Struthio camelus: one gene and its partners. The main gene of each other region encodes a partner of the protein of the gene in region 4 in a complex. Links are inferred from orthologs where the notes say so. Each region holds a gene or a part of one and is shown on either strand. Other genes may lie near its edges.

What was found.
Region 1: the proteins of GNA13 (region 4) and S1PR2 are in contact, whole or in part, in a cryo-EM structure (PDB 7T6B), measured with the Homo sapiens proteins. The link is inferred for Struthio camelus from reciprocal best matches to the Homo sapiens genes GNA13 and S1PR2. Residues at the interface, in NP_006563.2 of Homo sapiens: Arg47, Val216, Phe359, Lys363, Asp364, Ile366, Leu367, His368, Asp369, Asn370, Leu371, Gln373, Leu374, Met375, Leu376, Gln377; in NP_004221.3 of Homo sapiens: Ser66, Met68, Tyr69, Leu72, Arg130, Ala133, Ile134, Lys136, Val137, Lys138, Leu139, Tyr140, Tyr209, Ile212, Val216, Ser219, Gln227, Thr228, Leu231, Leu232, Val235, Tyr288.
Region 2: the proteins of GNA13 (region 4) and GPR4 are in contact, whole or in part, in a cryo-EM structure (PDB 9JHP), measured with the Homo sapiens proteins. The link is inferred for Struthio camelus from reciprocal best matches to the Homo sapiens genes GNA13 and GPR4. Residues at the interface, in NP_006563.2 of Homo sapiens: Arg47, Pro341, Tyr343, Phe359, Lys363, Asp364, Ile366, Leu367, His368, Asn370, Leu371, Lys372, Gln373, Leu374, Met375, Leu376, Gln377; in NP_005273.1 of Homo sapiens: Gln45, Asn50, Arg115, Ala118, Val119, Ala120, Pro122, Leu123, Ala126, Ile204, Val208, Ser211, Val212, Ser213, Thr214, Glu218, Lys221, Ile222, Leu225, Asn290, Glu291, Gly292, Ala293.
Region 3: the proteins of GNA13 (region 4) and ADGRD1 are in contact, whole or in part, in a cryo-EM structure (PDB 9V0U), measured with the Homo sapiens proteins. The link is inferred for Struthio camelus from reciprocal best matches to the Homo sapiens genes GNA13 and ADGRD1. Residues at the interface, in NP_006563.2 of Homo sapiens: Val49, Val216, Phe218, Phe359, Val362, Lys363, Asp364, Ile366, Leu367, His368, Asn370, Leu371, Gln373, Leu374, Met375; in NP_942122.2 of Homo sapiens: Asn599, Arg601, Leu657, Met660, Val661, Ile662, Val664, Phe665, Ser667, Val737, Ile738, Ile741, Ala761, Val764, Asn810.

What each region holds. Positions count from the first base shown.
Region 1 is NC_090972.1:4,939,667-4,946,883, forward strand, and holds the start of S1PR2 (sphingosine 1-phosphate receptor 2), read left to right. Parts: upstream 1-4,214; 5' UTR 4,215-4,450; intron 4,451-5,281; exon of another isoform or gene 5,282-5,296; intron 5,297-7,217. Other genes in the region: MRPL4 (large ribosomal subunit protein uL4m), read right to left, coding at 500-593, 1,496-1,546. UniProt on the Homo sapiens protein: Receptor for the lysosphingolipid sphingosine 1-phosphate (S1P). S1P is a bioactive lysophospholipid that elicits diverse physiological effects on most types of cells and tissues.
Region 2 is NC_090957.1:1,502,469-1,509,770, reverse strand, and holds the start of GPR4 (G-protein coupled receptor 4), read left to right. Parts: upstream 1-4,299; 5' UTR 4,300-4,434; intron 4,435-6,757; 5' UTR 6,758-6,866; coding exon 6,867-7,302. UniProt on the Homo sapiens protein: Proton-sensing G-protein coupled receptor activated by extracellular pH, which is required to monitor pH changes and generate adaptive reactions. Activated by an optimal pH of 6.8-7.2.
Region 3 is NC_090958.1:14,127,940-14,135,585, forward strand, and holds the start of ADGRD1 (adhesion G-protein coupled receptor D1), read right to left. Parts: upstream 3,005-7,646; 5' UTR 2,858-3,004; intron 2,442-2,857; 5' UTR 2,341-2,441; intron 650-2,340; 5' UTR 102-649; coding exon 1-101. UniProt on the Homo sapiens protein: Adhesion G-protein coupled receptor (aGPCR) for androgen hormone 5alpha-dihydrotestosterone (5alpha-DHT), also named 17beta-hydroxy-5alpha-androstan-3-one, the most potent hormone among androgens. Also activated by methenolone drug.
Region 4 is NC_090960.1:3,531,832-3,538,945, forward strand, and holds the start of GNA13 (guanine nucleotide-binding protein subunit alpha-13), read right to left. Parts: upstream 3,011-7,114; 5' UTR 2,983-3,010; coding exon 2,622-2,982; intron 819-2,621; coding exon 592-818; intron 1-591. UniProt on the Homo sapiens protein: Guanine nucleotide-binding proteins (G proteins) are involved as modulators or transducers in various transmembrane signaling systems.

The DNA of each region.
Region 1 (7,217 bases), on a different chromosome or scaffold from region 4:
AGCGTCGCCTCCCGGCCCCAGGACCCCCCGCACCCCCCCAACTCTGGGGACACCCGGCCCTGTCGTGTCACCCTCAACCCCAGGACCCCCCGCACCCCCCCAACTCTGGGGACACCCGGCCCTGTCGTGTCACCCTCAACCCCAGGACCCCCAGACCCCCCATCTCTGGGGACACCCGGCCCCATTGTGTCACCCCCAGCCCCAATACCCCCAGACCCCCTGACCCTGGGGACATCCAGCTCCATTGCGTCACCCCCAGCCCCAAGACCCCCAGACCCCCCGGCCCTGGGGACACCCGGCCCCGTCGTGTCACCCCCAGCCCCAAGACCCCCAGACCCCCCGGCCCTGGGGACACCCGGCCCCGTCGTGTCACCCCCAGCCCCAAGACCCCAGACCCCCCGGCCCTGGGGACACCCGGCCCCATCGTGTCACCCTCAGCCCCAGGACCCCCTGCACCTCCCAGCCCTGGGGACACCCAGCCCAGGACCCCCAGACTCACGGCTCGGGGGCGCCGCAGCGGCGGTGGTGACGCTGGTGGCGGTGGCAGCGGTGGCGGCCGGGCCGTCGCGGGGCCCCGCGGGGACGGACAGAGCCTGGGGGCAGAGGGGGTCGTGAGCGCGGGCACAGGCCGACCTCTCACCCCTGACCTTTGCCCTTGGCCCTCTGACCCCCGCCCCACCCCCACCTCTGACCCCCCCGGGCATCTTGACCCATGACCCTGCCCCGCCCCCTGAAGATCACCTTGGCCTTTGACCTCTGACCCCTGCCCTCCACCTCCACACCGGTGTCACCTTTAACCCCTGATCCTGGCACTCCTCGACCTTCGACCCCTGACCCCGGGCACTCTTCTGACCCTACACATCTCCTCGACCTTCGACCTCCGAACCCCAGCGCTGCTCTGACCCGGCCCCTAAACATCACCTCGACCTTCGACCCCTGACCCCGGGCACTCTTCTGACCCTACACATCTCCTCGACCTTCGACCTCCGAACCCCAGCGCTCCTCTGACCCGGCCCCTAAACATCACCTCGACCTTCGACCCCTGACCCCGGGCACTCTTCTGACCCTACACATCTCCTCGACCTTCGACCTCTGACCCCCAGCGCTCCTCTGACCCGGCCCTAAACATCACCTCGACCCCTGACCCCTGACCCCGGGCACTCTTCTGACCCTACACATCTCCTCGACCTTCGACCTCTGACCCCCAGCGCTCCTCTGACCCGGCCCCTAAACATCACCTCGACCTCTGACCCCTGACCCCGGGCACTCTTCTGACCCTACACATCTCCTCGACCTTCGACCTCTGACCCCCAGCGCTCCTCTGACCCGGCCCCTAAACATCACCTCGACCCCTGACCCCTGCCCCCGCCTCCACACCGGTGTCACCTTTCACCCCTGACCCCGGCGCTGCTCTGACCTCTGACCCGGCCCCTAAGCATCTCCTCGACCCCTGACCTCTGACCCCCTGACCCCCGACCCCCGGCCCCGCCCTCACGCGCGCGGCGGCCCTGGCGCAGGCCGCGGCCCGGGGCCCCGCCAGCATCATGGCGGCCTGGGCGGGTGCCGGCCGGTCCGGTCGGGTCGGGTCGGGTCGGCAGCGCCGGGACCGCGCGGCGGCGGCGCGCGGCGATGACGTCACGGGGTGGGCGGCGCCCGCGCGCTCCGGAGCGTCACTTCCGGCGGGAGGGAGGCGGAAGGTGTTTGTGGGGGAGGGGGGGGGAGGGGAGGGGAGGGGAGGGGAGAGAGGAGGGAGGGGGAGAGGGAGGAGGGAGGGGGAGGGAGGGGGAGGAGGAGGAGGAGGATAGAGGGGGAGAGGGAGGAGGAGGATGGAGGGGGAGAAGGAGAAGGATGGAGGGGAGAAGGAGAAGGATGGAGGGGAGAGGGAGGAGGAGGATGGAGGGGAAGGAGGAGGAGGATGGAGGGGGAGAGGGAGGAGGATGGAGGGGGAGAAGGAGGAGGATGGAGGGGAGAGGGAGGTGGAGGATGGAGGGGGAGAGGGAGGAGGGGGATGGAGGGGGAGAAGGAGAAGGATGGAGGGGAGAGGGAGGAGGAGGATGGAGGGGAAGGAGGAGGAGGATGGAGGGGGGAGAGGGAGGAGGATGGAGGGGGAGAGGGAGGAGGATGGAGGGGAGAGGGAGGTGGAGGATGGAGGGGAGAGGGAGGAGGGGGATGGAGGGGGAGAAGGAGGGGGAGGATGGAGGGGAGAAGGAGGAGGAGGATGGAGGGGGAGAGGGGGGGGAGCCGGGCTGGGAGGGGCCGGGAAGGAGGGCGGCCAGCGGCGGAGCTCAGCCCGGCCGCTGCAGGCCGGGGGGCCGGGGTCCCCCCTCTCCCGGGGCTCCTTCCCAGGTTGGGGGGCTCCAGGGGGGCCGGGGTCCCCCTCTCCCGGGGCTCCCTCCCGAGTTGGGGGGCTCCAGGGGGGCCGGGGTCCCCTCTCCCGGGGCTCCTTCCCAGGTTGGGGGGCTCCAGGGGGGCCGGGGTCCCCCCTCTCCCGGGGCTCCTTCCCAGGTTGGGGGCTCCAGGGGGGCCGGGGTCCCCCTCTCCGGGGCTCCTTCCCAGGTTGGGGGGCTCCAGGGGGCCGGGGTCCCCCCTCTCCCGGGGCTCCTTCCCAGGTTGGGGGGCTCCAGGGGGGCCGGGGTCCCCCCTCTCCCGGGGCTCCCTCCCAGGTTGGGGGCTCCGGGCGCCCCCCCCAAGGCTCCCTCCGAGGTTGGGGGCTCCGGGGGCTCCGGGCGCCCGGATGCGCCGTCCCCGCCGCGGCCCCAGGCTGAGGGCGACGTTCGTCCCGGCGCCGAGCCCGGCCGGGCCGGGGGCAGCCGGGGCCCAGGCGTCCGGCCGCGCCGGCGGGGGGCCGCGGCCAAGGGGCTGGGGCGCCGCTGCCGCCGCCGCCTGCTTCCAATTAACGGTGCTGCCGGCCGGGCCGAGAAACCCGAGCTGAGCAGGGGCCGCTGGGGGGGCGGGGGGGGGCCGGGCCGGAGCCCCCCGCCGGGCTGGAGCCCCTCGCCGGCGTCCTGGGGGGTCAGCTGGAGCCCCCCGCCGGGCCGGAGCCCCCCACCAGCATCCCGGGGGGCCCAGGGGGGCCAGGCCAGAGCCCCCCCGCCGGGCCGGAGCCCCCCGCCGGCGTCCTGGGGGGTCAGCTGGAGCCCCCCGCCAGGCTGGAGCCCCCCGCCGGAGTCCCGGGGGGCTCGGGGGGGCCAGGCCGGAGCCCCCCGCTGGGCCGGAGCCCCCCACTGGTGTCCCACGGGGCTTGGGGGGCCAGGCCGGAGCCCCCCGCCAGGCTGGAGCCCCTCGCCGGCGTCCTGGGGGGTCAGCTGGAGCCCCCCGCCAGGCTGGAGCCCCTCGCCGGCGTCCTGGGGGGTCAGCTGGAGCCCCCCGCCGGGCCGGAGCCCCCCACCAGCATCCCGGGGGGCCCAGGGGGGCCAGGCCGGAGCCCCCCGCCAGGCTGGAGCCCCCTGCCGGCGTCCTGGGGGGCCAGGCCGGAGCCCCCCGCCAGGCTGGAGCCCCCCGCCGGAGTCCCGGGGGGCTCGGGGGGGCCAGGTCGGAGCCCCCCGCCGGGCCGGAGCCCCCCACTGGTGTCCCACGGGGCTTGGGGGGCCAGGCCGGAGCCCCCCGCCAGGCTGGAGCCCCCCGCCGGCGTCCTGGGGGGTCAGCTGGAGCCCCCCGCCAGGCTGGAGCCCCCCGCCGGAGTCCCGGGGGGCTCGGGGGGGCCAGGCCGGAGCCCCCCGCCGGGCCGGAGCCCCCCACTGGTGTCCCACGGGGCTTGGGGGGCCAGGCCGGAGCCCCCCGCCAGGCTGGAGCCCCCCGCCGGCGTCCTGGGGGGTCAGCCAGAGCCCCCCGCCGGGCTGGAGCCCCCCGCCGGTGTCCCGGGGAGCTCGGGGGGCCGGCCGGAGTCCCCCGCCGGGCTGCAGCCCCCCACCAGGCTGGAGCCCCCCACTGGTGTCCCACAGGGCTTGGGGGGCCGGGCCGGAGCCCCCCGCCCGTGGCTCCGGGGCCGCGTTCCCCCGAGCCGGAGCGGGCGGGCGGCCGCTTGGCACCCGCCGCCCCCGGCCGCCCCCTTCGCCGGCCCGGAAAGCCCCCGGGTTTCCGTCGTCCCGGCCCGGGGAGAGGTGCGGGGCGGGGGGCTGCGGGGCGAGCGGCGCCCGGCGCCCGCCGCGGCCCCCGGGGAGGCGCAGGGCATCGCCCGCCCGCCGGCCGCTTTCGCTTCTCGCCGCCGGCGCAGGAAACCGCGGGGGGCCCCGGCGGAGGCCGCCGGGCCGGGTGACACGTCGACGCCGCCGGCCGGACCCGGCCTCGGCCGGGGAATCCTCCGGGGCTGCCCGCGCCCCCGGCCCCCCCTGGAAATACCCGGCGCGGGCGGCCGCCGGGCCCTTTCCCGAAAGGCACCGAGGTCGCGCTCGGCCCTGTGACGAAACCCGCTTCCCCCCGGCGCCGGCCGGGCCCCCGGCTCTGCGGAGAGGTGCGAGGAGGGACCGAGCCCTGGGGAGGGCCCAGGCGTCCGGGGGGGGGGCTACCCCAGCGCCCCCGACCTCAGTGCCCCGAGGGGGCCCAGGCGTCCGGGGCGGGGGGAGCGCCGCCTCCAGCATCCCCGACCCCAGCGCCCCCGACCCCTCCTCCCCGAGGGGGCCCAGGCGTCCGGAGGGGGGGGGGAGCACCGCCCCCAGCATCCCCAACCCCAGCGCCCCCGACCCCTCCTCCCCGAGGGGGCCCAGGCGTCCGGAGGGGGGGGGGAGCGCCGCCTCCAGCATCCCCAACCCCAGCGCCCCGGACCCCTCCTCCCCGAGGGGGCCCAGGCGTCCGGGGGGGGGGAGCGTCGCCCCCAGCATCCCCAACCCCAGCGCTCCCGACCCCTCCTCCCCGAGGGGGCCCAGGCGTCCGGGGGGGGGGGGAGCGCCACCCCCAGCATCCCCAACCCCAGCGCCCCCGACCCCTCCTCCCCGAGGGGGCCCAGGCGTCCGGAGGGGGGGGGGAGCACCGCCCCCAGCATCCCCAACCCCAGCGCCCCCGACCCCTCCTCCCCGAGGGGGCCCAGGCGTCCGGGGGGGAGCGCCGCCCCCAGCATCCCCAACCCCAGCGCCCCGGACCCCTCCTCCCCGAGGGGGCCCAGGCATCCGGGGGCCTGGCCCCCGCCGCCCCCGGACCCCTGCTCTGCCAAGGGGCCCAGGCGTCCGGGGCCCGGTCTCGGCGGGCGCGGGGCGGGGATGGCCCCGGCCGCTCCACCCACCCGCCCGCGCTGCACATGTTGCAACCGGCCGCCGGGGCCGGGGCGCGGGGCCGGCGGGCAGCAGCGTCGCCGCCGCCGCCGGTAAGATGCCGCCGCCGTGCGCGGTCCCCGCGCGCCCTCGCTGCCGTCGGCGATGCCGCCTCCGCCCCCCCCCCCGTCCCCCCCCCTCCCGGGGACCGGGCGTCCGAGCCGCCGCCGGGGAGCGCTGGGGGCCGGCGCCGTCGTGGGGGGCGCGGCGGGGCCGCGGGGGGCTCGGGGCTCCCGTGGGGGCGCGGCGGGGCCGTGGGGGGCTCGGGGCTCCCGTGGGGGCGCGGCGGGGCCGTGGGAGGCTAGGGGCTCCCGTGGGGGGCTCGGGGCTCCCCTGGGGGCGCGGTGGGGCCGCGGGGGGCTCGGGGCTCCCGTGGGGGTGCGGTGGGGCTGTGGGGGGCTAGGGACTCCCGTGGGGGTGCGGCTGCCCCGTGGGTCGCGGTCGCGCGTGGGCCCCGGGCGAGCGGGAGCGCGGCTGGAGCCAGGCCCAGACCCCCCGGCAGGCGGGGATGGAGCGGGGCCGCCACAGCCCCGCGCCCAGGCCCGTCCGGCCCCCCAGCGCCGCCGTCGAGGCCCCCCTGCGCCGGGAGCAGGCGCCAAGATTGGGGGGGGGGGTCCCGAAGGGCTGCTGCCGCCCCCTGAGCGTCGGCCCCGCGGTCCTGGGATGCGTCCGTCCCCCCGAGCGTCGGCCCCGGACCCCATCGAGTGTTGTCCCTTTGGTCCTGGGGTGCATCCGCCCCATTGAGCGTCAGCCCCACCGTCCTGGGGTGCGTCGGCCCCGCTGAGCGTCAGCCCCGGGCCCCCCCGAGCATCGTCCCCGGCGGTCCTGGGGAGCATCCGCCCCGTTGAGCATCGTCCCCGCCGTCCTGGGGTGCGTCGGCCCCACTGAGCGTCAGCCCCGGGCCCCCCCGAGCATCGTCCCCGGCGGTCCTGGGGAGCATCCGCCCCGTTGAGCATCGTCCCCGCCGTCCTGGGGTGCGTCGGCCCCAGGGCCCCCATAGAGCGATGTCCCCGGGGTGCTGGGGAGCATCGGCCCCGTCGGGGTCCTGGGGTGCATCCGCCCCACGGCCCCCACCGAGCGCCGGCCCCGGGCAGCATCAGTCCCGCCGAGCGCCCACCCGTGTCGCCCGCGCCGAGCGCCGGCCCGCGGCTCCTCCCGCGGCGCCCGGGCCCGCAGGGTCGAGCGAGCGCCTGACGGTCGGCCGCGCTCGAGGCCTTCGCCCGGCTCCTCCGTGCGGCGCGGCCCCGGGTGCCAGCACGCGTGAGCCCTCGCACAAGCCTGCGTGTGCCCCAGCGTGCCAGCACGCGTGTGCCCTTGTTTGCACAAGGCTCTGCGTGTGCCCCAGTGTGCCAGCACGTGTGCCCGTTTGCACAAGCCTCTGTGTGCACGAGCGTGCCAGCACACGCATGCCCCCATTTGCACAAGCCTCTGCGTGCACTGGCATGTTGGCATGTGTGTGCCCCTGTTTGCACGAGCCTCTGCGTGCACTGGTGTGCTGGCACACGTGTGCCCGTTTGCACAAGCCTCTGTGTGCACCAGCGTGCCAGCACACGCGTGCCCCCATTTGCACAAGCCTCTGCGTGCACTGGCGTGTTGGCACGTGTGTGCTCCTGTTTGCACAAGCCTCTGCGTGCACTTGCATGCTGGCACGTGTGCTTCTGCACAAGCCTCTGCGTGCACTGGCGTGTTGGCACGTGTGTGCCTCTGTTTGCACAAGCCTCTGCGTGCACTGGCGTGTTGGCACGTGTGTGCCCCCGTTTGCACAAGCCTCTGCGTGCACTGGCGTGTTGGCACGTGTGTGCTCCTCTTTGCACAAGCCTCTGCGTGCACTTGCATGCTGGCACATGTGTGCTTCTGCACAAGCCTCTGCGTGCACTGGCGTGTTGGCATGTGTGTGCCTCTGTTTGCACAAGCCTCTGTGTGCACTGGCGTGTTGGCACGTGTGTGCCTCTGTTTGCACAAGCCTCTGCGTGC
Region 2 (7,302 bases), on a different chromosome or scaffold from region 4:
CATTAGTGGAGGTGCATCGTTAGGGGAGGTGCATCCTTGGGTGCATCCTTGGGTGCATCATTAGTGGAGGTGCATCGTTAGGGAGACGCATCGTTAGGGAGGTGCATCCTTGGGTACATCCTTGGGTGCATCATTAGTGGAGGTGCATCGTTAGGGAGACGCATCGTTAGGGAGGTGCATCCTTGGGTGCATCATTAGTGGAGGTGCATCGTTAGGGGAGGTGCATCCTTGGGTGCATCCTTGGGTGCATCCTTGGGTGCATCATTAGTGGAGGTGCATCGTTAGGGAGACGCATCGTTAGGGAGGTGCATCCTTGGGTACATCATTAGTGGAGGTGCATCGTTAGGGGAGGTGCATCCTTGGGTGCATCGTTAGGGAGACACATCGTTAGGGGAGGTGCATCCTTGGGTGCATCCTTGGGTGCATTGTTAGGGGAGGTTTGTCATTGGGTGCATGGCTGGGTGCACCCTTGGGTGCCTCGTTAGCGAAGGTCATCGTTAGGGAGGTTCGTCGTTGGGCGCATCGTTGCGGGGGGCAGCCGTGGGCGCGGGGTGGGACTGGGTGCTCCAGGGGTCGGGGCAGCACCGTGGGGGGGGGGGCCCAACACCCTGCCGTGGGGCACCCCGTGCACCCGCCGTGGGGCACCCTGGGCTCCTCCAGCACCTGCCGTGGGGCACCCCACCCCCGTGCCCCCCCCCGGGGTGCAGGCATTGGGTTGGGTGCGGGGTGCAGAGACGGGTGCAGGGACCAGGATGGGTGCAGGGAAGGGTGCAGGGCTGGGTGCTGGGTGCAGGGACCAGGATGGGTGCAGGGAAGGGTGCAGGGCTGGGTGCTGGGTGCAGGGACCAGGATGGGTGCAGGATGGGTGCAGGGCTGGGTGCTGGGTGCAGGGAGCAGGAGGGGTGTAGAGCTGGGTGCTGGGTGCAGGGACCAGGATGGGTGCAGGGACCAGGATGGGTGCAAAGACAAGTGCAGGGCTGGGTGCAGGGAGCAGGAGGGGTGCAGCGAGCAGGAGGGGTGCAGGGAGCAGGAGGGGTGCAGGGAGCAGGAGGGGTGCAGGATGGGTGCTGGGTGCAGGGAGCAGGAGGGGTGCAGGGATGGGTGCAGGATGGGTGCTGGGTGCAGGGACCAGGATGGGTGCAGGAACCAGGATGGGTGCAGGACAGGTGAAGGGCTGGGTGCTGGGTGCAGAGACTCGTGCAGGGATGAGGATGGGTGCAGGGATGGGTGCAGGGCTGGGTGCTGGGTGCAGGGAGCAGGAGAGGTGCAGGCGTGGCTGCAGGGCTGGGTGCTGGGTGCAGGGAGCAGGAGGGGTGCAGGCGTGGCTGCAGGGCTGGGTGCTGGGTGCAGGGAGCAGGAGGGGTGCAGGGATGGGTGCAGGATGGGTGCGGGGTGCAGGGAACAGGAGGGGTGCAGGATGGGTGCTGGGTGCAGGGAGCAGGAGGGGTGCAGGGATGGGTGCAGGATGGGTGCTGGGTGCAGGGAGCAGGAGGGGTGCAGGGATGGGTGCAGGATGGGTGCTGGGTGCAGGGTGGGGGTGCAGGGCTGGGGCCGGGGGGGGCGGAAGTGGGTGCAGGGCCACACGCCAGTGCTGCACGGCACGGCACACGGCTGCACACGCCATGGCGCACACACGCACACGGCTGCACACACGCCACGGCTGCACACGGCTGCACACGGCTGCACACGCACACGGCTGCACACGCACACGGCGCACACACACACACGGCTGCACACGGCTGCACACGCACACGGCTGCACATGCCATGGCTGCACATGCACACGGCGCACACACACACACGGCTGCACACGGCTGCACACGCACATGGCTGCACACGCACACGGCTGCACACGCACACGGCTGCACACATGCACACACGCACACACGGCTGCACACACGCACACGGCTGCACACGCACACGGCTGCACACATGCACACACGCACACACGGCTGCACACATGCACACGGCTGCACACGCACATGGCTGCACACGGCTGCACACGCACATGGCTGCACACGCACATGGCTGCACACGCACACGGCGCACACACGCACACGGCTGCACACGGCTGCACACAGCTGCACACGCACACGGCGCACACACGCACACGGCTGCACACACGCACATGGCTGCACACGGCTGCACACACGCACATGGCTGCACACGCACACGGCTGCACACGCACACGGCTGCACACGCACATGGCTGCACACGCACATGGCTGCACACGGCTGCACACACGCACATGGCTGCACACGCCATGGCTGCACACGCACACGGCGCACACACGCACACACGCACACGGCTGCACACGGCTGCACACACGCACAGGCCCGCACATGCCACGGCTGCACACGTGTGTGGCCTGGGCCCGGCCCGGCACTGCCCTCTCGCTCGCGCGCACCCCGGCCCCTGCCAGGGCTGGGGCAGCCCCCGGCTCGGCCTGCTCTGGGGGGGCCTCTGCACCCCCAGCCCCCTCAGCCACCCCCCAGCCCCTCTGCAGCCCCCAGCCCCATTGCACCCCTCTGCAGCCCCCCCAGCCCCTCAGCACCCCCAGCCCCTCTGCACCCCCCAGCCCCTCAGCCACCCCCCAGCCCCTCTGCAGCCCCCAGCCCCATTGCACCCCCTGGCCACCCCCAGCCCCCTCTGCACCCCTCTGCACCCCCAGCCCCTCTGCACCCCCAGCCCCCTCTGCACCCCCAGCCCCTCTGCACCCCCCAGCCCCATTGCACCCCTCTGCACCCCCCAGCCCCCTCTTCACTCCCAGCCCCTCTGCACCCCCAGCCCCCTCTGCACCCCCAGCCCCTCTGCACCCCCCAGCCCCATTGCACCCCTCTGCACCCCCCAGCCCCCTCTTCACTCCCAGCCCCTCTGCACCCCCCAGTCCCATTGCACCCCTCTGCACCCCCAGCCCCTCTGCACCCCCCAGCCCCATTGCACCCCTCTGCAGCCCCCCAGCCCCCTCTGCACCCCCAGCCCCTCTGCACCCCCCAGCCCCCTCTGCACCCCTCTGCACCCCCAGCCCCTCTGCAGCCCCCCAGCCCCATTGCACCCCTCTGCAGCCCCCCCAGCCCCTCAGCACCCCCCAGCCCCCTCTGCAGCCCCCCAGCCTCATTGCACCCCTCAGCCACCCCCCAGCCCCATTGCACCCCCTGGCCACCCCCCAGCCCCCTCTGCACCCCCCAGCCCCCCCTGAAGCCCCCCAGCCCCTCTGCACCCCCCCGAGCCCCATTGCACCCCCTCTGCACCCCGCAGCCCCTCTGCAGCCCCCCCACCCCACTGCAGCCCACAACACCCCCTGCACCCCATAGCACCCAACCCCTCCTGCACCCCCTGTGCCCCCATCCCGGACGCCTGGGTCCCCTCCAGCCTCCCCAGCCGCTGCCTCAGGCGCCGCCGCTCTATTTGCATAGCCACGCCCCCTTCCCTCGAGGGGGCGGGGCCTCCCCCCCCCCCCCAAACCAGTGACACCCCCCCCCCCCCCCGGTGACTCCCGTCCAGCACCGAGGGGGTTACCGGAGACCGGACCCCGGGGAGATGGGGGGGGGTTACCGGGGGGGGGCACCGGGGCGGGGGGGCGGCCGGTGCCGGTGCCCCCCCCCGTGCCCCCCCCCGCTCCGCCCCCCCCCCCCGGGGCCGCCCAGCGCCGCCAGAGCCCGAGCGGCAGCGGCGGCCGGAGGCGGCTGCACCGGGGGCACCGGCACCGGGCTGAGCCGGGGCCGAACCGGGGCACCGGGGGCACCGGGGGCACCGGGGGCACCGGGGGAACCGGCACCGGGCTGAGCCGGGGCCGAACCGGGGCACCGGCACCGGGACTGCACTGGGACACCGGCACTGGGACACCGGCACCGGGCTGCACTGGGCTGAACCGGGACACCGGCACCGGCACCGGGACACCGGCACTGCGACACCAACACCAGCAGCAGGACACCGGCACTGGGACACCATCACCAGCACCGGGACACCGGCACCGGGACACCAACACCAACACCAGCACCAGGACACCAACACCGGCACCGGCACCAGGACACCGGCACCGGGACACGGGCACCGGGACACCAACACCGGCACCGGCACTGGGACACCGGCACCGGGACACCAACACCAACACCGGCACTGGGACACCGGCACCGGGACACCAACACCGGCACCGGGACACCAACACCGGGACACCAACACCAACACCGGCACCGGGACACGGGCACCGGGACACCAACACCAACACCAGCACTGGGACACCGGCACCGGGACACCAACACCAACACCGGGACACCGGCACCGGGACACCAACACCAACACCGGCACCAGGACACCGGCACCGGGACACCAACACCGGCACCGGGACACGGGCACCGGCCGCGGGAGGAGCCGCCCAGGGCCGGGGCGCCCCGTCTGCACCGGGGGGGGGGACCGGCCCCGACGGGGACACGCGGTGAGTGGCACCGCAGCCGGGCCGGGTCACCGGGGGGGGGGGACCGGCCGCGATGGGGACAGGGAAGGGACGGTGGCAGCGGGACAGAACCGGGCACATGGCCGGTGGCACCGGGAGGGGAAGGGGGACACGATGAACGGCATGGGGACCGGGGACGTGGCCGGTGGCACCGGGAGGGGGGGGACCGGCCGCGATGGGGACAGGGAAGGGACGGTGGCAGCGGGACAGAACCGGGCACATGGCCGGTGGCACCGGGAGGGGACCGGGGACACGGCTGGTGGCACTGGGGTGACACAACCACTGGGACAGGGACCGGGGACGCGGCCGGTGGCACCGGGAGGGGACGGGGGACACAGTGAACGGCATGGGGACCGGGGACATGGCCGGTGGCACCGGGAGGTGACCGGGGACGTGGCCGGTGGCACCAGGAGGGGACCGGGGACACGGCCAGTGGCACTGGGGTGACACAACCACTGGGACAGGGACTGGGGACGCGGCCGGTGGCACCAGGAGGGGACGGGGGACGCGGTGAACGGCATGGGGACCGGGGACGTGGCTGGTGGCACCGGGAGGGGACCGGGGACACGGCCGGTGGCACTGGGGTGACACAACCACTGGGACAGGGACTGGGGACGTGGCCGGTGGCACCGGGAGGGGACCAGGGACATGGCCAGTGGCACCGGGAGGGGACCGGGGACATGGCTGGTGGCACCAGGAGGGGACCGGGGACACGGCCAGTGGCACTGGGGTGACACAACCACTGGGACAGGGACCGGGGACGTGGCCGGTGGCACCAGGAGGGGACGGGGGACGTGGCCGGTGGCACTGGGGTGACACAACCACTGGGACAGGGACTGGGGACGCGGCCGGTGGCACCAGGAGGGGACGGGGGATGCGGTGAATGGCATGGGGACCGGGGACGTGGCCGGTGGCACCGGGAGGGGACCGGGGACGCGGCCGGTGGCACTGGGGTGACACAACCACTGGGACAGGGACCGGGGACGTGGCCGGTGGCACCAGCACTGCGATAGGGTCAGGGAGGGGACCCGGGACACGGCCGCCGTGGGGACGGGGACTGGGGACACGGCCAGTGGCACGGGGATGGGGAGGGGACATGGGCACTGCGGGGACAGGGACGGGCAGGAGCAGCCTGGGGACACCAGGACAGGGATGGCCTGGGGGCCACCGGCACCAGGGACTTGGGGACATCGGGATAACGACTGGGGGACGCTGGGGCGACAGGGCTGGCGGTGTCACCCCCGGCGTGGCCGTGTCACCCTCGCGGTGGCTGTGTCACCCCCGCTGCAGCCGTGTCACCCCACAGCGGCCCTTGTCACCGCGCTGTGGCCGTGCCACCGTCACCGTCCCCAGGCGGGCGGGGGGGGGGGGACACCGGATCCGGCCGGGCTGGAGCCGTCGGAACAATTCCCCAAATTGGCATCAGCGGCAGCAGCCGGCCGGCGTCACCGTCCCTGTCACCGTCCCCATGGGCAGCCAGGCACGGGGACAGCGACAGCGGGGGGGGACGGGGAGGGCTGAGCCGGGGCGGGGGGTGAAGCCGGAGGGGGGAGCTGAGCTGGACAGGGGGGTCGCTCTGCCCCCTCCGTCCCCTTAACTCTGCCCCCTCCGTCCCCTTAACTCTGCCCTTCTGTCCCCTTCGCTCTGCCCCCTCCATCCCCTTCGCTCTGCCCCCCTCCGTCCCCTTCGCTCTGCCCCCTCTCGCTCCTTCGCTCTGCCCTTCTGTCCCCTTCGCTCTGCCCCCTCCATCCCCTTAACTCTGCCCCCTCCGTCCCCTTAACTCTGCCCTTCTGTCCCCTTCGCTCTGCCCCTCTCTGTCCCCTTCGCTCTGCCCCTCTCTGTCCCCTTTGCTCTGCCCCCTCTCGCTCTTTCGCTCTGCCCCTCTCTGTCCCCTTCGCTCTGCCCCCTCTGTCCCCTTCGCTCTGCCCCCTCCGTCCCCTTAACTCTGCCCCCTCTGTCCCCTTAACTCTGCCCTTCCGTCCCCTTCGCTCTGCCCCTCTCCGTCCCCTTAACTCTGCCCCTCTCCGTCCCCTTAACTCTGCCCCCCTCCGTCCCCTTCGCTCTGCCCCTCTCTGTCCCCTTTGCTCTGCCCCCTCTGTCCCCTTCGCTCTGCCCCTCTCCGTCCCCTTCGCTCTGCCCCTCTCCGTCCCCTTAACTCTGCCCCTCTCCGTCCCCTTAACTCTGCCCCCCTCCGTCCCCTTCGCTCTGCCCCTCTCTGTCCCCTTTGCTCTGCCCCGTCTGTCCCCTTAACTCTGCCCCCTCCATCCCCTTCGCTCTGCCCCTCCCTCCCTTAACCCCGCTGCAGCCCCCAACACCTCCCATCACCCTCTCCCCCTCCACCCCACCCCGCCAGACCCAACGCCATGGGCCCGCCGTGACGCCCCCGTCGCCTCCGCCGTCCCCGCCGCCCGACCATGGGCAACGGCACGGCGCCGGGCTGCCAGGTGGACGCCGACCTGGACCACCTGCTGCCGCCCTGCCTCTACGCGGTGGCCATGGGCGCGGGGCTGCCGGCCAACGGGCTGGCGCTGTGGGCCGCCCTGCGCCAAGTGCGCCAGCGCAACGAGCTGGGCGTCTACCTGCTCAACCTCTCGGTGGCCGACCTGCTCTACCTGGCCGCCCTGCCGCCCTGGCTCCACTACTTCTGGCACCGTGACAACTGGCTGCACGGCGCCGGCGCCTGCAAGCTCTTCGGCTTCGTCTTCTACGCCAACATCTACGTGAGCATGGCCTTCCTCTGCTGCATCTCGCTGGACCGCTACCTGGCCGTGGCCCACCCGCTGCGCTTCGGCCGCTTCCGGCGGGTGCGCACGGCGGCGGCCGTCAGCGCCGGCGTCTGGGCGCTGGAGG
Region 3 (7,646 bases), on a different chromosome or scaffold from region 4:
GTCTTTTTAAGGTTAAAAGACCAATAGAGATCAAATTCCTGTAATGTTTCAGTCATAAATTTTCCTTTGCTCCTTTTTGTATTAAAAGGGACATTTTCCATGCAGGTTCAAGAATTCTGTTCCTTCAGCAATGGCAAAATATTCTTCCAGATCCTTTAAGGAATAACTACTTGCTTCACACTTTGATCTCTTCATTTATCCGTAAATAAATTACCATGATTGGAGCAAGATTATAAGAAACGTGCATCAGATCCAAAAATTGTATTCTTCCATGGAAAGAAGTCAAATATTTCTGTTATAATCTATGCCAAACAAAAAGATCCGTTTTCAACTTTCTTTCTATAGTTGTCTTTTCCTTTCAATTACTTTCACGTTGTCAGAAATCTGAAGCCAGTTTTGGTTTTGCTAGCAAGAAAGTGTACTTCCTTATAGCGTGTAGGGCGTATAACTGTTTCCTCGGGAACTGGACTAAAATGACTTGTTAACTCCTCGCTTGTCCAGTTCACTTTTGCACCTCCATCTCAGATCATTTTTGGGTGGAGAGCAAGTCTGAGTGATGTCATGCTTTCTTCTCAAACTTTGTCCCATTCTGGTACTCTATTTATATCACGTTGCTGCTGTCTCTTTTCAGGGTCCTAACACCAGCCAGCTAGAGGAGCAAGTGGAAACAAGTCAATGTGGTTCAGCAAACAGACTAAAGAGATCGCTGTTTTTAGTGATCTGCACGCTTAGAGAAGAAACAAAGCCAGGATAAGTGTTCATATTTCAAACCCATAAGAATAACAGATTTGGGAATGAAGTTTTTGAAGGAGATCTAAAAATTTATATTAAAATAAGTTTGTATTTCTGCCTAAGAAATACGAGTTATAAAAACTAATTAAGATCACCTGGTACTCTGAGGGATTAGGTTTATTATGTCTCTATCAAGATGGGGAAACTGAGGCACTAACCATTTGATTGATTTATTCAAAGCTACACAGCAAAACTACCGGACAAGCTGAGAAAAGACTCCCAAACTTCTATAGAAGCCACTGTACTTCCATTCCCTTTTATTTTTATCAAAGTTAAACAAATTTAAGTACATTTTTTAATAAAAGCCTCACAATTACTACATTCTAAACTCTATCACATGCATTAACCACTATTTTATATGTTAAAAAAAGACAGCTAGAACTGGTTAATATATTCATTTACTCTTTTCTTCTGTGTTAATATCTTGTTTCTGAAAACAAGTTCCCAAGTTCTTTACTTTCTTAATGAAAAAATTGAAACAATATATTTTAAACAAATTTTGATAAGCTCTCCATCCCTGTTCATCTTTTCCCTGCATTCCCATTTCAGCTCCTTCTTTATCCTCACACAAGCCATATACACTTGAGGTAAGCAACATTAGAACTTAAGAAAACTGAATCAGACCATGCTAACATCTCAGCAAAATTCAAATTATTTTATCGTTTTTTTAGCTTAGAGGTATATCTTCTATAGCTTAGAAGTATAAGTTAGATCTTGTTTTCAGCCCCAGACACCTACTCAAGCAGCAAAGCATTCTCTACCTAAAATGCATGGATATACAAGATGTTGATCTACAGAAAAAGATATCGCACAATTCTGCTTCCATGCACACCACTGACAATCTATGGCTGTCTTCTGACTCTTAGGTGTTTCAGCTACCCTTTCTCTCGACCTTCCATTTTGTGTCTCTTGGTTTCATACCTTCAGGTTCCTGTATCAGCCTATGTTTACCTGGTCCCTTTCCTTAGGTCTACTCCTTCCAGCATATTAACCCTCTTTCTTACTTCTTAATCTCAACTTCTTCCATACTAGGCTGTTGGCTAGAGAAGGTTATTGCTTTTTTGATGAAATAATTTTCCATTGACGCTCTACAGAGATCATATAGCAGGAAGGCCAGTAGGTTTGTCTAGCGACCATGGTCCTGATTTACCCAGCTGGCTCCTCAGATGTATACCGAACTTCTGAAGCGTCTGAAGGTATCTAGTTCCTTGCAGGTGATTGTCTAGTTGATTGGATTCCAAAGACTGAAGCTCCTTTGGGCTTTGATTAAAGACTTTGGGCTCCAAAGACTGAAGAGAACATATTTAATTTCAGGAAGTAGTAAGATATTCATGCCTCGTGAATATTTGAATGTTACCAAAATTAGTTATTGTAAGAAGTTCACTATTGGGAAAAAATTAAGTATTTGGATTGTAGCCATGACTGTAGACCTACACAATAAAAGAACTCTGAGAACTTCAAATTTTTGTAGGAAGTGAAATTTGGTTTCCCACTTAGTTATAACTGGCCTGACTTTTGCTTATTCCCCCTTTAAGTTTTACTACTTACTCCTTCCATTGTTACAGATAGCCAGAAACTCCTCTGTATCCAGAAATTCTGCATCATGTACTAACAAGTAGAGCCACCTTAGAAATAATGAAGAGCTGCAGCTAAAAAACATGAGAAAAACTAAAATGTAAAAAGAGAAAAACAAGAATTTGAAATATTTGCCAAGAAGGGCCTGTCAAGGAAAAGAATATACCTACCAAAACAATTGCGAGAATCCAAGCAAACATGTTCACTGCCAGAAATTTTTGTGGCAACAGCAAATTGCAAGCAGACAGAGATTATTTACAGAATCAAATTCTGAATTTATTAGTGTGATTCCCTGGAAACTGATCTGAAAAGTCACACTGCTCCCACCACAGACCAGAAGTAGTACAGGGAATCTTGCATGCAAGCCGGATCAACCAATCCAACACTCAGAAGACAAGACGTTACAGTCAGTTATTGAAGAACTTGCAGATGAAACAACGTTCATTTAAAGTACTTGCCCATCACTAATAGCACAAAGCTCTGTACGTACTGTGTGGATAACTGCAGGCAGCCTATGCTAAGCCCCCTGGACAGGTTGCTTCCAGGATCTCTCTCCCACCCAGCTCCCCTGGTGCCCTCCTGAGTGAGGGAGGGGGGAGCGGCAAGCCCCGCTGCAGGCTCTGCTACACAGCGCAGTGCTGGCAGCAGCTCACTGAAAGGCCTCTCAATTTTCTATCCCTGCCAAACAGAGAGCAGCAAAGGCTGGGGAGGAGCTGCTCTGCAGCTAGGACGTTTGCTGACAGGTAGATTTAAGTCCCCAAACAGAACAGAAAGCCTGATGATCTGCATCAAAAAAAAAAAAAAACAAAACAAAACACCCAACCCCATACCAATAGAGAAAGAGAAAAAAGAGAAAAAGAGCACTGGGATTTTATATGCCCCATGGCAGGGAGGAAGGGGAAAGGTAGTTGTTGTGAGGTCTGGGTAGGGGTAGAAGTTTTCAAACAAAGAGTTTAACAAAAATAAAGATCAATCTTTCTGACACAGGTTGGGGAGATTTTGTACTTCAGTTGCAATGACTTCACAGCAATAACTAGCATGTGCCTATTTAATAAAAAAGTGAACTGTGAGCTACCATGAGAAAAATTAAACTTAACTTAGTTCCAGCTTCCTTTGTTCACCTCCTGTTCAATCAGAATGATTATGTTATTAAAGAAGAAAATTAATGAAATGCTATACCTGAAATTTATCCTGAAGTTAAAAATCCTTACTACGTAATCTTAACTACGTAAATACAAGCAAAGAGAATAACAGAATCTGTCTTACACTACAGAATAAAAAATTTGTACGGTTTTCTTCCATTGTTTTCATTGGAATCATTAAGTTCATGAATAAGAACTTAGCGCATAACGGGGATTGAAGGGTTTAACAAAACATCTTAGAAAGGAGCAGCTTAAAATCTAGCTGTTAAATTTAATCTTAAATTTCTGTAATATCACAGCCTCTGCTAATACTCCAATAAATATTCTGGATAGAAATGGCTCCCTGGTCAAAAATACAGGCATTAACTAGCTGGTTACAGTTGATACTAACACACACCTGTGGCAATTTTTAATTTTAGTGCTAATTTTTCTGGCTTGTCATGAACCTTCCAGAAAAGTAGTTGACGTACTATTATTTAATGTCTATTGCTCGCACACACGCAAAAAACCCCCACACCACACAGTTTAGGAGAAAAATTCAGCTATCCTTCCATAGCTTCTAAGGTATTCTTGAAACTACTCAAATAATCACATGGGCAGTTTGATTAAATTTACACATCCACAAGGAACAAGAACATGATCCTCTGCCATACTTACCACCTTCTCAATACACACCTTTGTGACTAGTATAGCCATTTTAGTCAGGAGATTGATATTATTTATTTACTCACAGAACTCCAAAACAGAAGTGGTTTTACAGATACCAGGGTCACGACTAACAAAGCTTTTCCCTCCCTTCTCTTCGTATAAGTTATTCCAACATTGAATTGTGTCTCTATACGCAAGAAGAGTTTCTTGCCCTCACTGTTGATGAGAGCCTGTGAAGTAGGCCTTAAGCAAGACTGCAGCAACGGGATGGCCGTGTGCTGGCTCTCAGACCTGATCTGACATATTCAGTCAATGGCAATGCATTGCCATTGTATTTAGAAACCTCTTACTGAGGTCACACTCAACAGGAAGGCCAAGGACCTAACAAAATGCTCTCTCTAGTTATCATACAAGGTTGAAATGCCATGAGGGACAGCATAAAGAACCTGTCCTTGCTGATGACTGGACTGTCATGACTCATGGAGAAGCAGTTTGCCTTGTACATTTTGTCCTTCTTTGACTTGCGCATCCCTATCTCACATCCTTTCTTCCTGCATTCTGTACACAGTACAGTTGATGGACAGGAAAGGGAGTTAAAACTCTTTTCTTCCTGTTGGCTACATCTCAAGTACTAGAAGGTGTCAGTGTCTACAGTGCAGACTGAAAGCTCTTCTGTTGCACGGCTCATTTCAGTCTTTCAAAGGAGCCAGGGCTTGGTCTATGCTAGCTTCACCCCATTCACCAAGACTATAACTTTGTTTTTGAAAGAAGCTGTTCCCATATTCTGGCAGACAGATTCAACCTGCATTTGGCAGCACTTAAAACAAAAGTGCTGCAGTTCGAAGGGTTGGGGTTTTTTTGTGTTGTGTTTTTTTCCTATTTTCTAACCTCTCATTTCTTCTCTTTCAGTCCCCTCGCTCAAAAGAATGTTAGTATGAACTGCACTGGGTGAAAATATTTCACTGTCACAGTAGGTTGCATACAATGTCTTTTATTCAGGCACCTCAAAAGAATTAGAGTTTACTTTACTAGCTCTCATTGTTATAATGTACATAGTTTACACTGTAAATGAAAAGTGAAAACAGATGCAAATTACATGATTGAAGATGAGAATTTACTTCTTTCGGTCAGTTCCAGCTGTATTTTTCCAATCAATCGGTGGCCTTAGACATCTTTCATGTATTTGCATATTCTCCCTATTCATTTCTTCCTGAGAGTCAACTGATATTAACCTTGGCAAGAATCATCACTAAAAATCCAGCGTGAAATCTGAAATACGATTTTTTTTTAGATTTCCAACACATAGCAAAAAAAAAAAAAAAAAAAAAAAGAACCCAAAAAGCCAAAGAGCCCTTTCATGCATTTTAAGGAACAATTTTAGTATAATAAAAGACCTTTTAAGAAAGCATTACACTAGGATTTTGTACAGGCTTTAAAAATTGTCTGCAAAACGTATATTGCCTTTGAAAGAAAGTATGATACAGGAGAGGCACGGATGTTTTATTAGCGTGAAAGATCGTTCTAATAAAATCTGTATGCATTTATATCTGTATTAGTGTGATTAATGATAGGAAGATTCTTCAATAGCGCAACCAGACTGCTGAGTCAGAAGATATCTGATCTGATGTAGCAAGCTACCTCATGAGGAGCACAGCACTCTACCAGGCCCACTGACTTTGTCAGGGCTCCACCTGCACAGGAATCACTGCTGATAAGGGACTCAAGTACTTCTCAGAACAGCAAAGCACCACAAAAGCCATGAAAACACTTAATCGTTAAGAAATATCAGACAAAAGTTATTTGCACAATGCCATCTAACAAAAGAATCTAAGGAAGGCAGTGGCCAGTGTTCTACAGTCAGCCTACGACACCACAGATAGTAAGAGACATTTTGGCAAAAATAAGTCAGAAAGTAAGCCACATTCTTACGAAAATATCACATGAGATTTCCTTTGAGTCAATTATATCAAGAAGGACAATAGAACAGTTCATACTGGAGAAAGAAACAAATAAACAAATCTTGGTGTGAATTCACAAGGCCAATGTTATCATACAAAAATATTTTTCTAATTAAGAAAACGTGAAGCTGCTGAGTTGGTGCCAGAAAACAAAATCCAGCTTTTTGGCAACAAAATTTAGGATTAGTCAGATAAAATACTTATACCATGCTACAGTTGTAATGTTAAACCGATTAATGTTTTCGCAAAGAATAAAAGGTAAGAGGCTGATCCAAATACAAGCAAGCACATAGCTGTCATACAACAAATTATGCATTTAAGTTCTTCGGTGCCACTTACTGATCAAGAGTTACTGGATTTATCTTTTTATTTTCTATTTACTATCATTGTGATAGTGCCTTGAACATCTTACCCTGGACACTAAAAAAAGCGTCATTTTTCGAGAATAGTTTAGGCTTTTGTGCAACTCAAGATTTGTAGGTACACAATGCATTTAATTGAATCTTTGATAACCTAGGCTAAACCTCAGTGTTTAGCAACAGAACGTTAAGCTTATGTGAAGTCGGCTAATCCTATAATAAAAAATACATCATGTTTTAATATATGATTAAGCCAAGTCTCATTTGCCAGAGAGTCACTGCCTATATTAACTGCGTATTTTTTGGCACCATTCAGGTAGTCATATTTTCTGTAACAGAGATGTGTTTCACAATGATAAAGTTTCTCCTTTGAAATTTTGCCAATTTCTCTTTTGTAGGCTTACTTAATTTCTCCCATGCCCTTCTGGGTAAAAGCAACTCCATGAAAATTTCATTCAACCACCTTGTGAAATAAGTTTATCGTTCAGTCCAACACAAATGGAGTTTACACCCAGAAGCCATTCTGCATGTTATTTCTCAGTAGGAACATCTGAGCCCATTATAGATGATATTGAAGACTTTATTCCATAGGAAATAACACATTCTTGTCTTTTGTAGTCTTATTTTAGAACTAAGTGGCAAAAGGAATGAGGGTGGGGAGAGAAATCATAAAGAGATTTGACTAATATTGGCAGTGGCTGCCAAATGTGTGTTCTTATTAAGATCTCAATCATCAAATCTGAACTGCAACTGATAACTGCAAGAACAGGTAAACTGATAGTCACCATGCAGAAAACCACATTCGTGCCACTGTTCACAAGTTCACAAACATGCATGTACAGCAACAGCAAAAGCTATCTCCAGAGGTGAGACTAGTGCAGCAATGATGCCTTGTCTATGTCCAAAGGCATGTATTTACTATACTTAGTTCATCTCCTGCTTAAAGTGCTACTCTGAGGGATTTTGCTTTTTTGAATGATCTAAATTATTGATTTTCCCCATTTACTATCAATGTTCTTTCAGTATACTGCAGAAAAGCAAGCTACAGTAAAACCAATCGTACAAACATGATTTTTTGGATATGAAAACTAATATGGAACTAAGATGAAAACACTCTCCTCTTCTCTAAAGGGTTTGCTAATCTCAGCAACTTCCATAGCCTCCTTAAACCA
Region 4 (7,114 bases):
TGTACTCCATCTTCAGCTGAGAACTTCAATATAACAAAAACCTCATTACATGAGAATTAACATACACGTTTAAATTTAAACAGGAAGTATACACAGGGAATGCTTGCAAGATAGCTCAAATTGGAATTGAGAAGGGAGTGGTTTTTAAATTCTTCTGATTAACCCATGCATATCTTTTCTTAAAAATCACAATACTATTAAGCCTTTCTTTATTGTAATCCAATGTTTTTTTAATGCCAATACACTATTTAACAAGGGGTCAGAATAATCATATGGTAAACACACTACACAGCTTCTAGCCATCAGCTCCTAGCTTAGTTACGGAATTAAAAACTCTGTGTCTCAGTTCTCTCACACATGAAACGAGGACAACTGTGTCAGAGCTCTTTATTATTCTTGGTTTAAAAAAAGAAAAAAGGAGTTAAACACATCTGTTTACAATACCGTAGTGTAACACTCAACCATTCAAACACGCTTAACATTCACATGGAGGCTGCTTGATCAGCGTTTCATTGAAAAGCAATATAGGAACAAGACATCATACAAGACATCATACACGCTCAACTAAAAACACTGAAAGGCAAATCTTACCAGCTGGAATTCTCTGCGCCTGTCATACGCATGCTGGATACCACTATCTGCCCATAGCGCTCTGATAGCTGGAAGGTACTGTAAAAAAACCGCTGTCTCCACCATTCCTTGCACCACTGTGACTGACCGCGTATCAAAAGCCATCATCGTATCTCCATTGCTCTGGTTGGCGGGATCTCCCCAAGGAATATGAAGTTTCTCTCTGGCATCTACGAGGACTCTCACACCTTCAACAACATGAAAGAGCATCGCAATTAGAATTTCTCAGCATCTACTGTTTCACTAGCCTACAAGTTTGTAAAGACTTGAACAATGCACTTACTCCGTGTGCAGTCAGAGTTCAATAGGACTAACCACACAGTAAGAAATAATGAAATGTCTGCAAAATTGACTCAAAGCATTAAATTTTCAAGTAGCCCCTGAGATATTTGCTACCAGAAGAACACAGCCCTGATCACGACCATAATATCCATAGTACCAGTACAACTCTCGCAGAAGCACTACTTTTAGTGAGTAAATCCGTGCTATCAAAACTCTTTAACAGATATTTACACTTTTTTTTCTGATCCCCAGAACCATTTTCTGGCTGTTACACTGACCTGGCGGGAATAATAAGACAAATGAAGCACGTCTAAAAGCTCATTTCAGAATATATTTAACTATCTGAGGCCTTATTTTAAGGTTTCCTAGTCATTGTATTCTAATGAGCTTGGTATCTACTTATACCTACTTGCAGAAAGTAGCCACTGCTATTAATATTTTCAGAGCTATGAAGGAAACATTTACTAAAACCACAACTTCTAAATTTTACGTCTTTACTTCTTAAGTGCAGAAGGGATCTTATCACCTAAACATTGTCACACTTTTTTTTCTTTTTTGCAACAGTAAATATTCTCTAGTAGAAGCTGAACATTTTAAACCTGCTTTACACAGGACTTCAAAGGAAAAAAAAAAGGAAGAAAGAAAGAAAAGAAAAATCGTGTTGTGCCAAGGCTGATAACGCAATGATAACGCAAATGCAAGGAAATAAATTCTGGTACTAGATTTAATGATGGTGAGGGAAAAAAACAAAAATAAAAAGAAAACTCCAGAAGAAAGAACAAGCAACCATAAAGGCACGGGAGAGGCATAAGGAATCAAGATGTACTAACAGCTGGCTCTATAACAACACACTGGTTCAACATCGTCAGTACCATCTTTTCAAGAATCACTGCCTTTTCCATCTGTCAAAACCTATGACTGCAGGAACGTAGCTACAAAGTAAGATTTGCAGTTCTTGCCTGTGTGCTTTTACAGAGTAAAAGTTACCTGATTTTATTAATAGACCATAATAAGGTTAATGTACCTGCTCATAATTGCTACTACCCTGCTATTTATAAATAGGCTTGGTTTATAAATAGTTTTCTAAAGCAATTCTCTTTCAGAATCAGCAGGACTTAGGCCACAAAATACCCAAGCCCCCCCCCCTCCCCAAAACTCGGGGCCGGGGGTCTTACAGCGCTTCGCTATGTTGAGCGACTTAGTCAAGGCTTCGCTCGGACGCGACACAGTCCAGCTCGAAAGCCAGGCGAGCAAAGGCAGCGATGGAGGGAAGAGGGAGCAAACGCGGATGACAGCGGGGAAGTCAGCGGTCGGCTCCTCAGCCATGTGCGCAGGCTCCCGGCACCGCGGCTCCCAACGGGGCTCTGCGCGGGGGGGGGGGGGGGGGGTTCCTCCGAGTGGATGTGTCAGCCCGGTTGCCGGCGCCGCGCCCTCCCGCAGCCAGGTGCGCGCTCCGCCCGTCCCCCCGCCGCTCGCTGCCGGCCTCCCTCCCTCCACCGGCAACGGCCGCCGCGCCGCGCCGCTGCTCCCCTCCTCCGCCGGGCCCGGCCCGGGCCACCCGCCGCCCCGGGTGCGTGTGTGGAGGGGGGAGGGGGGGGAACGGGAGGCGCTGCCCGTGCGGGATGGCGCCGCGACCCCCCCCCCCACACACACCCCACAGCGGGGCCCGGCCCCGTCCCGTCCCCGCGGGCGCCGCCGCCCTCACGCACCCTTGATCACGTTGCTGTAGATGGTGGCGCGGAACTCCTCGCGGGCCGCCCGGTCCCAGTCCTGCCCGTGGATGATCCGCATCTGCTTGAGGAAGGTGGACTTGCCGCTCTCGCCCGCCCCCAGCAGCAGGATCTTGACGAGGCGCTTCACGTAGGTCTTCTCGCGGTTGAGGCACTTGTCGATCTCCTTGGACTTGCGCTGCTGCTCGGCCTCGCCGCTGGTGAGCAGGCAGCCGGGGAAGCAGCCCGACAGCACGGAGCGAGACGGCAGGAAGTCCGCCATCTTAGCGAGCACTGCCAACGAGGGGAGCGGCCGCCCAGCCCGGCCCGGCCCGCAGCAGCCCGCTCTCTGCCCGCGCATGCGCGTCCGCCGCCCCGCCCCGCCATGTGACACCTCCCCCCCCCGCTCCCGCCGGGCACGCCCTCTCACGTGACTGTGGGCGCCGCCGCCGCTGCCGCCCTGCGGCCGCCGCGAGCGGCCTTCGTCACGTGACGCCCCTCTTCCCGCCCTTCACCCGCAGGGCTCCCCCAGACTGTCACGTGACCGCGGCGCGAGCCCCGCCCACGAGCGGCCCTCACAGGAAATGGCGGGAGGGCGGAGGCGGCGGTTAGACGTGTTGAACGCTGCTGCCGCTCACGGCTGCCAGAGCCGCAAACGCAGGCGAAGTCTGTGCTCCCTTGAGGGAAACTGAGGCCCGGCCTTCCCCCCCCCCCCAAAACCGGTGCGCGGGCGCAGGGACGCACGCCTCGGCCATGGTGGCGGCCCGGCCCGGCGCCTCTTCCAGGAAGCGGATAGCGCAAGCGGCTGCGGGGGGGTTCAGCCCTCGGTCAGAGGGTGCAGGATGGAGCCTGCCAGCTCAGCAGTTTTTGTTCTTGGTAGAAAAAGAGAATCGTTTCTGTACAACCTTCTGAACGATTTGGCATGCGCTTCCTGTCCGCTCCTCTGCAAAGAGATGTGCCACCACGTTGGAAAAACGTGCCGAGTTTCACGCGGGGGTCATAAGCAGACAGAGCCAGCAGCACTTTCTATCATCTCGTAGCTTAATAAGAAACAAAGCACTTTAAAGTGTTTAAAGGTTCTCCTAGGGATACTTTGTTAAGGATGGCAAACGTTTACGTGTGGGATAGAGAAATAATAAGCTGAGGGACAAGCAAGGATTGAAAATCCCCTCTTGGTGTGAACCGCCCCTGAGGACGGTTGATTCTGTTTTACCATTTGTGCATCACGAGCAGAAATTAACCTGCGAACGCACCACCGAATACCAGCATGGCACTCCACTGCCTCCACAGGCCTACACTGACTGAAGATCTGGTCCATAATATTAAAGGCAAAAAGATCGTTGTCTTTGATTATTGATACAGTCGTTCAAATCTATCCAGAGAAGTCTTAGTCCTACATATTGGTCAAATCAGACTGCTCTCGTATAGCAGCCCACTGACATGTTGGTTGTTGTCTGAAGACGTAAGGACACATCTGACTGAAAAACTCGCATACGCGAGTTACGTAGGTCAGCTGCGAATATGGTACATCTGTGTCATGCTCCTCTTGATGTGGCCACTTATAGACTATATTGCAGAAATCACATATATACATGCAAGTGCCTATGCAATAGTTACATTAAACATTTCTTTTATCTCCCTTTATTACATCTCCTTGACTTTGGCACCTACTGATTTCTTCCCTCAGTGCTCTGATGCTTTTTCTTAACAATAATTTTAAGTTTAAAAAAAGAAAAAGGAAGAGATGAATGAGGAAACTGTTAGCTGAGCTTAACATGAGAAAATGTCACTGCCTGTTTACTGCAAGGACCCTCCTTCTTCAAAATCTGTGATGAGTATTAATGTTTGCACCTTATATAGGGGATGTGCCCACAAGGAGATAAATTCCATGTGAGTTATTCCACATGATCTTTATAAAAAAAGCATTTATCAAAAGAGAGCAGGATGTGGTTGCATAAAATTCATCTAATCATCCAAGAAGCACATCTTAGTGGTCTTAGTATAGAAACAAAAGCCAGCAATTCTTGAGCTCTAGTCCAAGTTTTAAAACCAAGAGATCTTTGCTGGCTTGACACAGTTCTCTGAGAATCTCATCTTCAGAAATGCAGAAGACTCCCAAGCTCCTACAATTCCTCTTGGAGTTAAGTAGTTTTCAGTAAATGAAAATCCTGCCAACCTTTCTCATTGCGTGCTTCTTGTCTGCATAAGGAAACTGTTAACAGTACTTGTGCTTTCCTTCAAAAGGTTTAATGTTCTTCCAAAAGGGAAATGAACATTTGTTGCCTTTTAGTGAAGGAGAGAGTTAAAAACAAAGAGGTCAGGGCCAAAATATTAAAACAAATTTTGGGTGCCTCCTTTGTGAGAAACTGATGAACTCCTACCAGTAAAGTATACCAAAGAAAACCGGACTAAGTCATAGATTGAGAAAATCATGGTTGTGCAGCAGAAAAGATAACGACAGCCAAGCTTGGGAAAGGATGACTTGTGTCTGCCTTCTGGGCCAAACAGCGAGATGCACCTAAAATCATGGGGTGCAATGATAAAGGGGGTGAATGAAAGAAGAGTAAAGGCTATTTTCCTGACAGTAATATGACCTTCCAAACCCAGGCCATCCCTTGCTGGAAGTCAGAACTGTGTCAGAACAGACAGGCATCCCCTAGGGCTACCTGTGCTTCCTTTCAGTGCTGCTTCAGCCTCTCATCTAGTTCTCCCTGGTAGTCTCAGTTTTGTCCTTTTCCTTCCTCTTTTTCCTCCTTTCACTTCACTTTCCCTCATCCACCCACCCAGCCAGTGACTTTGCTACAGCCTCCCCCTTCTCTGGCTTCTCTCTCCAGCTGCCTGCAGCCAGCTGCCCTGTGTAACCATCATCCTCCAGTCATCCGCTTCCTGCTGTCCCCCTCAACGCAGGGTCCTGGTCACTCCTGCCTGCTCTCAGTTTGTCACCTCATTCTCAACGACTCCCATTCTTCATTTTCAACTGTCCAGAGCACCTCATTTCTGGGTAGTCACTGGCCTCCTCCCAGCGCTACCTTCGCTTCTCTCCCCTTCACTCCACATTCCCAACTGTGCCCTCCAAAATCTTCTAGCTGTACTATTCCCAATCTTCTGTTGAAGGGACATGGCCTTCAGCATGCTGCAGAGAGGGAAAGATTATTCCCCACTACATTAAAACCTGAGCTGAGGATGACCAGAGTTCCCTGGGGAGGACATTAAAGTGGGCTCAATGTTATCCAGCTCAGCAGGGAAAGCAAAATATCTCAGTCCTGGGTCAGGTGTTAACCCAGCTGCATCCTCTCTCCCCAGCAGCCAGGTCTCATCTGTAAGGCAGGGTGCACAAGGTCTTTCTCTGTTTTGCTTTTTTCCTTCCTCTTTGCCATTTCTTTCCTTGGCTTTCCTGTCCCTGGAAGGTCCAAGAGTGACGGGAAACGAATGCTTGCTGCCCATTCCTGCTCCCAGCTCTTCCCACGTGGCTGCTGAGAAAACCCCTCATTTTCAGTGGTTGTGCCCTAGCAGAATAGGACGATGGACTGTGGAGACATTGCTTTAACTATTGCCTTGCAACGGCACTTGCGACTAAGTCATGTGTCTCTCCATGCTGTAGTTTCCACCTTTTTTTGGTAAACTGCTTTGAAATCTTCCTGGAAGGAACTAGGTGCTGAAATTCAGTCTGTGCTTGACGTGCTCACAGTACCATTCTCATTGCTGCATTTACGTTAGCCCCTTCCTTCCCCTCACCACCATCTCCAGTTTCCTTAGAAAGCTAGTTACTCACCACATGTCTTTTGTGTTGCCTGACAGAACTTCTGATGTGTGAACAAAGGGCAACCACGTAGGAAATGTGATCTATAAAAAAGGGGGGGATTCCACCTACCATGCTTTTCACAAGAGAAAGCAAAGAGAATCGTCATCTGAGCTGTGAATGGGTCTATTAAGAATGAGGCTAACTTAAAGGGACTTTGGAAGGAGAATGGAGAGACAAAGTTTAAGGTCTCATTGGACCTTTCTCTGGCAATTCAAGGGGTATTGCAACCAGGAGATGACACAGGGGACCAGCTGCAGCTGAAGAGGGAGTAAGCTGAAGTGGAGGTCTGTTGTGTGTTCAGTGTGAGGTGTGCCCCCGGTTGGCATGGTGTGGCTTTTCTCTGTGGGCTCTAGTGCATAATTCAGCATCCAACACGTGCTGACTTTACCCTGCTCTGTCAGAGTGCGTTTCATGGCCCCCAGGCACAGGCACAGTGGGATCTGCATGCTCTGGAAGGCCCATGGGCTTGCATTGCCACCGCATGGTACGTGGACCACATGAATATATCTTCACAATGGCATCACATACCACAGGTGTGGGACATGAACATTCATGCAAACATACCGTTACATAAATAGCATTGGATTCACATTAGAAAACAGGCACTGTGAGGTACAGTGATCTCCCCAGAAAACATGTTTCTTCATTATGAGGGGTGCTGTAGGTCAGGACTAACTTGGAGATCCAGAAG